Nothobranchius furzeri: one gene and its partner. The protein of the gene in region 2 binds, or shares a complex with, the protein of the main gene of each other region. Links are inferred from orthologs where the notes say so. Each region holds a gene or a part of one and is shown on either strand. Other genes may lie near its edges. The genes, in order: pigu and pigs.

Region 1 (3,919 bases), on a different chromosome or scaffold from region 2:
AGGTTATTTGGAATCAAAATAGGAGCATATGATGTAAACTTGGGTTGAGGGTTGTGGCAAATGTCAAATCATTATTTTAGTTTAAAAGTAAAATAATGATTTTTCATATTTAAAGTAAATTTTCACAAAAATGAAACAAAACATGCTCTCTATGTTAAAGCAGCCCTAAAGGAGGGGGGGGGGGATGCTGTAACATATAGGTTAATTATCTACCTTATGCTAATAGCTGCTAATAATGCTAACCTAATGCCACAGCTGACAGTTAACCTCACCATGATGTAAATCACCAACTCATTTTGAAGTTATGCTAACAGACCAACACTGAAAATCCTCACCAAGTAAGAACATCTTTACTTCTACTTGTTTTTTTGGGGGGAGCCTAAGCCACACCCACCCACTTCTGGTCCATGGGTGTCCCACTGCTCCCAAAAATGAATCGGAGTCTATGAGCGGATAAAAGTTATTTTCTGACCCTGTTTGATATGTGCCACGGATTTTACATTTGACGTCCGTGAATTTTAAAGACACATTTATGCCAAGACTCTGTTATTCGCTATTTTCGAACAGTGATTTTAGGTTTTGTGTGAAAAGACATTTAGGACTACAATTGTGTCTCACCATATTGACATCATTGACATGAGATTCAGACATGGAGAAGAAAATGGCTGTGTATTTTGCAAGCTTTAACGCTCTCTTCCAGGATGACAGAAGGAGCATTAAACATGGAGAAAACCAGGGCAAGCATTTCAGTCCATGTAGTAAGTGCGTAGTAAGTTCCTCTCCGTGGGCTGCCACCTTACCGTGGTGGAGGGGTTTGAGTGTTTCAATGATCCTAGGAGCTAAGTTGTCTGAGGCTTTTTGCGTCTGGTAGGGTCACCCATGGCAAACAGGTCCTAGGTGAGGGATCAGACAAAGAGCAACCCAAAGACCTCTTATGATGAATTATATAAATGGAAACTGTGTTCCCTCGCCCGGACATGGGTCACGGGGGCCCCCCTCTGGAGCCAGGCCTGGAGGTGGGGCATGTTGGCGAGCGCCTGGTGGATGGGCTTTCACCCATGGAGCCCAGCCGGGCACAGCCCGAAGAGGAAATGTGGATCCCCCTTCCCATGGGCTCACCACTCGTGGGAGGGGCCAAAGGGGTCAGGTGCAGTGTGTGACGGGTGGTAGTCGAGGGCAGGGACCTTGGCTGTCTGATCCTCGGCTACAGAAGCTGGCTCTTGGCACATGGAATGTCACCTCTCTGGTGGGGAAGGAGCCTGAGTTGGTGTGTGACGTTGAGAGGTTCCAACTAGATATAGTCTGACTCATCTCAATGCATGGCTCTGGCTCTGGAACCAGTTTCCTTGAGAGGGGTTGGACTTTCTACCACTCTGGAGTTGCTTCCACTGAGAGGCGCTGAGCAGGGGTGGGCATATTAGTTGCCCCCCATCTTGGTGCCTGTATGTTGAGGTTTACCCCAGTGAATCAGAGGGTAGCCTCCCTCCGCCTACGTGTGGGGGGACGGGTTCTGACTGTGGTCAGTGCTTATGCACCAAACTACAGTTCAGACTACCCACCCTTTTTGGAGACCCTAAATTGAAATTCATTGCCGTCCACATTAAACCTTAGTCTTAAAAAATTCACAACATGAATAAATGTCATTAATCGTCTTAAAATTTCTTTCATTTGAAAATACAAATTTTCAGAAAAGGCACTTGAGCCATTGCCCTGCCTTCTTCTCAAACTTAACACGCAGGAATAGATTGTGGGTAACTGTGGGTCACCCAAGTCCACATTGATACAGACCTGGGAAAAGTGCAGATCAAGGGTGCAAAATGAGCTTGGTCACTTCCTGCACTTGAAAATCGGGACACCCTATGCACTTGCACCCCTGGCTGGGAACATGATATTAAAAGGCACAAGTGTGGAGGTGTGAGTATTGGGACTGGGCCATAAATACCATAAATACACAATAATGTGATCAGGCCCTGAGTGTGTTGCATCCAAATCGATCTGGGCAGCAACATTTCCCAATCATTCTGATAAATAGTTTGTGACAATCCTACTATTATTACTTTGGCAGATTGGCAACACATTTAAATCCTTGAGGATTTGAAATCAGCTCATCACCTAACCCCTAAAGCAGACACAAATGCTGTCATGGCCTGATAACATGATAGGTATTTAATGTGCGGATCTCCTACCTCATGGAACACATCTCCTGAGTATGGTGAAACTCCAAGATCAAGCAGTGCCAAACCCTCAATAACTGCAAAAAACAAACAACATCTGTGTTATCCTCTATGGTAGAGCTAATATCATCAATCACCTTGTAATGATCTGGTTTTACTTTACAGGGGCTGAAGCATGACACATGTAGCATCCACACACATTATTCAACATTTTTATAAGAAATCAGCACTTGTCTAGGCTTGTCTGGATTTGTTTTTGCAAGCCGATCAGGACTCTCCGTCTTTTGTATCGGAACTGGTTTGACTTGACAGCATCGTTCAGACGAAGATGCAGGAAGGAACCGGAATTTTAACCGAACAACTGGGATCCGGACGACAGCCGCACCCGCGCTTACCTCGTTTCCAGGCGGTAATGGGTGACACCACCTCCACCCGCTCCGCGATTACCTCCGCTAGAGAGGATCTGTAAAGAGCCGCGCGGATTGTAACGGCTACAACTAAAAGTAGAGTCAAGGGAGCCGCCATCTTCACAAGGAAGCGCTTTCCGCCCTGCCGGTACAAGGCATGATGGGAAATGAAGTATGTTGTCTAAAAAGACAACTACATAAATAAAACAAAATAAAGTTCACATAAACTATTATTCGTCTTCTATTTTACTTGAAAAGGCATTACGTTCTTGTAAAATTCTGATCATAATTATTTTTTGTGTTTGGTTTTTTGCACATTTTATAATTTTTTTTTGGATTTCATTTAGAACACAGATGTAATACAGATCATTTTCATTACTTTTGTGTAAAAATACTCAGTACAAATATCTACAGAATGTATCTATAAGAGTGTTTCTCAATGTCAAGGCGCCTGGCCTTGCAACGAATTTTTTGCGGTGCTTTTACATTGAAATCCCCAGACAGGAAGTGCTAGAAGTTTCTAGGTTGCAAATGGGAAGACTTTCGTTTTCTTTTCGTCGTTTTGATGCTGTGTTGATGTCGAGACACTAAAGAAACATGGCAGGCTTGGAGGTGTTGTACACCTGTGTCGCAGGTAGCATCAGCTGCCCGCATGACGCCGTTGTGTGCTTCGTTCACTGGGAAATGATAAAGAATGGATACAGGTGTATCGGGTCTGGAGATGATGTGAGTAAAATCGGCTGTTTGAAGCTGGGTCAGATTCAGATGATGCAGAAAATGGACAAACAGTAACCTGACCTGTTGACCTGGTTTGTTATTTTTGTAACAAGGGTTTCACTATTTATGCTTCATAAAAGAAACGAACAGACAAAAGATCAGACATGAAATTACACGTTATTGAAAAAGTACAAGGTTTTAATTAAACTAATAAATGCCGATAGATCAGCAGTAAGATATTGTACAGAATAATAATGTCATTTACACAGTTTCTGACGTGATTATTTTATGTTATTGAAGGAGACATTAAGCAATCGATTTTCTAGGGGAACTTGCGCACGCTAACCTGCTATTTTGAAGTTAGCTTTAGCTTTCCAAAAGGGTATACTTTTCTGGATTTAGCTAACTTCGCTGGATTATAATGTCTAGGAGACGTCTTTTACTTATTTTCAATCAAATTGTTTCATTTAAACCCAATGATTTAAAGTAACGAACTGTCAAAACAAAACATGTCAAGTCATCTTTTAGCAGGTTAAACTAACTCACTCTGTGGGGCTGGGTCACATTGACGCACATCAGATGATTTAATAAATCTACTATTTTTTGTTCATTAACCCTTTG
Region 2 (3,919 bases):
CGATGTTGCTTATTTGGTCCAACAACTGTGCAAGAGAGGTGATGGTTGTGGTTGCTGTTGCAATATTTTCCACACAACGACTCCACATGAGACGGTCCAGCTCCCAGTCGGCTAATCCTGAACTTCCACGTGGTGCCACCAGGAAGCCGGGGGGAGGGGGGGATGACTGCACACCCAGCAGGAGTCTGGCAGGGAAAAAAATTAGGAAACTTTGTACACGGGCAAGAAATATTAAAATGTTTGCTAGGAGAGTGACGCTTACCGAAGCTGAGCGAGAAACACTCCCATGACTTCAGCCATGTTGATGCTGATGTCAACAGGAAGCTCAGCCTCTGGCTCATAGAAACCGTTCACATTATAAACCTAAAGAAATAATGGATAGACTTTTTCCCCATCATCACACCTTCACTGCTCCGATGGGTGTTTTCAATAAATAACAATCTATTTTCTTTCATTCGGGTGAGAGAAAATTAAATATTTTACCATAATTCCACCCCAACGAGGAGAATGAAACGCATTCGAGGGCACTTCCTGTTTCCTATGATCCTGGATTTTAAGAGGGGAATGGTGAGCATCAGGAACGTACAAAAGGAAATTCAGCACTGGGTTGGAAGATGCAGCATTAGAACCTGGAAATCAAACATTTTTATGTTATCATAAAGCAACACAGTGGATTCAAATCCCTAAAATTCCTATTTTACCAAGTCTGGCCTCCACCGGGTTGATGACGTGTGCGAGGCTGTCTGCATTTAGCGTGTAGGCATCGCAGCTGCTGTCAAAGCGTGGTTTGACCCCGAGCACAGAGTAGTACAACGTCTGTAAGAACACAAGTATAGGGTTGAGGGTTATCTTTTGACGTGCTCTGCGCCTGACTGAATGTCCACCAAAACGGAGTTTCATACCTGAGAGTCGATGCTAAAGTTGGCCACGGGGGAGAGTTTTGTGAGCAAAGGCTGGATGTAGGTCTGCACAGCACCTTCGATGTCCCAGTGGAGCTGGTGTGACGTTGGGTCGGGGTTCAACAGACTAAATGTTATCTCATAACCTAAAGGAAAATAAAAATAAACAGAAAACAGAGTTTTTTTCACACCAACTTTAACCACACCAACTTTATTCATGGCTGAATAAAAGCCAACCTGGGCTGGATTTGAAGGCTCTCATGCTATCAGCAATGCCCTCTTTGCTGTCTGGGTTGAAACGGACTCGGTCACTGAGGACAGCAGAGACGTCGGTGTGGCTGAAAGACATCACTTGCAGCACCTGTTTGATGCGAGGCTCCAGTTGGGCCAGGAGCTGCTCGAGTGTCCTACCCACACCCACCTGGGAGCTGACACGAAGCAGAGCAGTTCGACGCTGACCGATGTACACATCTGTGTCCTGCAAAGCATAAAAACACGTCCGAATTTTTCACGACACGGGTCGAAGTAAATAAGGAGCAGAGTATAAAATACTAGCAGATTTGACCTTAGGCAGCAATAGGGACAGCTCTGGGATCACATAAAAAACCAGAGAACCGCACGGACTCTCGCTGAGTGTGTGCAGAGATTCATCTGCTCCTAAAAAACAAGACACAGAAAAATAACTGCGTGTAATTTCACCAAACCATTCATTTGAGATTTAACCTTTAACTGACCAGCAGCAGTGGGCTTGTTCAGTGCATCCTCCTCCATGATCGTAGCTGTGCGGTACCTCGTCTCAAACCTGTACCTTAACATTGTATCTCCTGTAAGCACAACATAAACACACAAAATGAGCATGCACGCTTCATCCTCCGAAACAACCTCCTAAACCACTTCATTAAATCACCGTCCACTGCATGTTCCTCTTCCTGTGTTTGTGTCAGTGGAACCTTCTTCTGCTGCTCGGGGGTCACAGTACCACGAGCAAAGACGACCTCTACGTCAGCGCTCAGCTGGAGCTGCAAAACAGAAAAAATAAAACACGAATAAGCAAACTCCCACGAGACAAAAAGGTTGTTTTAGGAGTCAGAAACTAACCTGTAGCTTTGCCAGCTGTTTTATCTGACTGACAGGTAACCAGGCACGGTAGGTTTCTGTGGTTCGCCACCATAGAGGGACTCCAACGATGATCACCACAGCTGCTATGGACAAAGCAGCAAGCTGACCTCGTCTGCGCTCTGAAAGAAAGACCAACACAGAAAAGAGTTCTGCTACAGAAATTCTACAATGGATGCAAAATGTCTTGTAAGAAATTACCTCTGCCTATTTGTTTGTGTGTTACTGATGTGTCAAATACTTAATCTATTTCTATCACTAAACTTAGAATCACTTCACAGTAATATTAACTGATGCTATTAAAATAAATAAATGGTTGTAACTACATAAGAACAGGATAAAAACACAACATTTTATTTCCCTTCATTAACATCTAACTGTGTACAGAAGCAACATGTTTTCATCGATTAGTTTGGGGTTAACTTTGGCATTAAAATAATAAATAAAAATTATAAGCTAAATAAACTTTGAACCTATTAGATTTTTTCATGGATGCATGGGTTTTATTCAGCTTATTATAGAAGAACAGACGGTTGCAAATAAAAATAATTGTTTAAAACTACATCTAAAACGAAGCTAGCTGTTATAAATGCACATTTTCCTGGAAACCACAATGCTAACGCGAGCTAGCGCTCAACAAAAATGGTTCTTAACGTCATGAAAACAAATGTCTCCAGCTAAAAGTGAATGTAGCTACAGGACGTCTTAAAAAGTCTGTAAATGGACCCCAAAGTACAGTTAAATTTTTTACTCTGACTAAACTAAAATGTTAAAACATAATGTGACATTCTATCTACTCACCCACTTCCGCGGTGGCCATTATTTGCAATGAACCGGGTGTGCTCGGTTTCATCACCAACACAACATTGAGTCACGTGACACATATTTCATCTGACTCAGACAAGAATAAAGGAGGTAATATATATATATATATATTCAATTAAAGTTTATTTATATAGCGCCAATTCACGACAAGAGTCGTCTCAAGGCACTTCACAAAATAAACATTCCAATTCACAGTTCATTAAGCCAATCAGAAATAATGTGTCCTATATAAGGAACCCAGCAAATTGCATCAAGTCACTGACTAGTGTCAGTGACTATACAGCAATTCTCATACTAAGCAAGCATGCAACGACAGTGGAGAGGAAAACTCCCTATTAACAGGAAGAAACCTCCAGAGGATCCTGGCTCAGTATAAGCAGCCATCCTCCACGACTCACTGGGGATCGAGACGACAGAACACACACACACACACACACACACACACACACACACACACACACACACACACACACACACACACACACACTCTAATGTGTCTACAGTTCTATTGTGATGTCTTAGTAAATATTCTATTTGGTGAGATAAACTTTATTGTATTTATCCTAGTGGATCTCTAAATGGGTAAACTAGCAGTAACACGTCTATATATATATATATTAAAAGTACAATAATTTTGTGATAAATGTATTATTACACTTGGAGAACTGTGATTGCTTCAGAGACAGAAAGTCATCGGGCGATCCTGAAAAAATATTAAACACACACGTGAAGGGGAAACTTTCGCCCCTTTGTGACAGTTTTAATTAACGTCACCTTTAGTGATCACATTTTTTTCGTATCACTGACTTGTCTTGAATACCTTTAAACCTGCAATTTAAGCATGTAACACTCCCAGTTTGACTCGTTCATAATAAGCAGCTTTAGAAGAAAATCAGAAGGATGTAGCAGGTAGTTCAGGGTGTTCTTTTCAAAATACTGCTACTAGAACCGTTATTATTTTAACACAATAAACTACAGAATACTCTCCAACTGTTTAATATTCCTAACATTCAAGCCAGCTGCCATTGTTGGTTTAAAGGTAAGGAAGTCCTAATGTTATGGTTCAATAATGTGTACAT

What was found.
Region 1: the proteins of pigs (region 2) and pigu are in contact, whole or in part, in a cryo-EM structure (PDB 8IMX), measured with the Homo sapiens proteins. The link is inferred for Nothobranchius furzeri from reciprocal best matches to the Homo sapiens genes PIGS and PIGU. Residues at the interface, in NP_149975.1 of Homo sapiens: Ala4, Gly5, Ala8, Thr9, Glu12, Arg15, Arg18, Ala19, Phe22, Phe23, Val26, Leu30, Leu34, Trp35, Thr38, Thr39, Leu510, Leu511, Phe513, Ile521, Tyr522, Leu525, Phe526; in NP_536724.1 of Homo sapiens: Gln118, Phe282, Glu283, His284, Phe285, Leu287, Phe288, Phe289, Cys291, Val292, Phe293, Ile295, Phe299, Tyr300, Ile302, Pro303, Ile306, Lys307, Lys309, Glu310, Thr417, His418.

Annotation. Positions count from the first base shown.
Region 1 is NC_091743.1:68,645,103-68,649,021, reverse strand, and holds the start of pigu (phosphatidylinositol glycan anchor biosynthesis class U protein), read right to left. Parts: upstream 2,741-3,919; 5' UTR 2,700-2,740; coding exon 2,570-2,699; intron 2,252-2,569; coding exon 2,187-2,251; intron 1-2,186. Other genes in the region: psmf1 (proteasome inhibitor PI31 subunit), read left to right, coding at 3,179-3,307. UniProt on the Homo sapiens protein: Component of the glycosylphosphatidylinositol-anchor (GPI-anchor) transamidase (GPI-T) complex that catalyzes the formation of the linkage between a proprotein and a GPI-anchor and participates in GPI anchored protein biosynthesis.
Region 2 is NC_091750.1:65,604,676-65,608,594, reverse strand, and holds the start of pigs (GPI transamidase component PIG-S), read right to left. Parts: upstream 2,907-3,919; 5' UTR 2,869-2,906; coding exon 2,817-2,868; intron 2,785-2,816; exon of another isoform or gene 2,217-2,784; intron 2,138-2,216; coding exon 1,998-2,137; intron 1,919-1,997; coding exon 1,807-1,918; intron 1,724-1,806; coding exon 1,634-1,723; intron 1,557-1,633; coding exon 1,465-1,556; intron 1,378-1,464; coding exon 1,137-1,377; intron 1,046-1,136; coding exon 903-1,045; intron 817-902; coding exon 702-816; intron 630-701; coding exon 484-629; intron 364-483; coding exon 263-363; intron 186-262; coding exon 1-185. UniProt on the Homo sapiens protein: Component of the glycosylphosphatidylinositol-anchor (GPI-anchor) transamidase (GPI-T) complex that catalyzes the formation of the linkage between a proprotein and a GPI-anchor and participates in GPI anchored protein biosynthesis.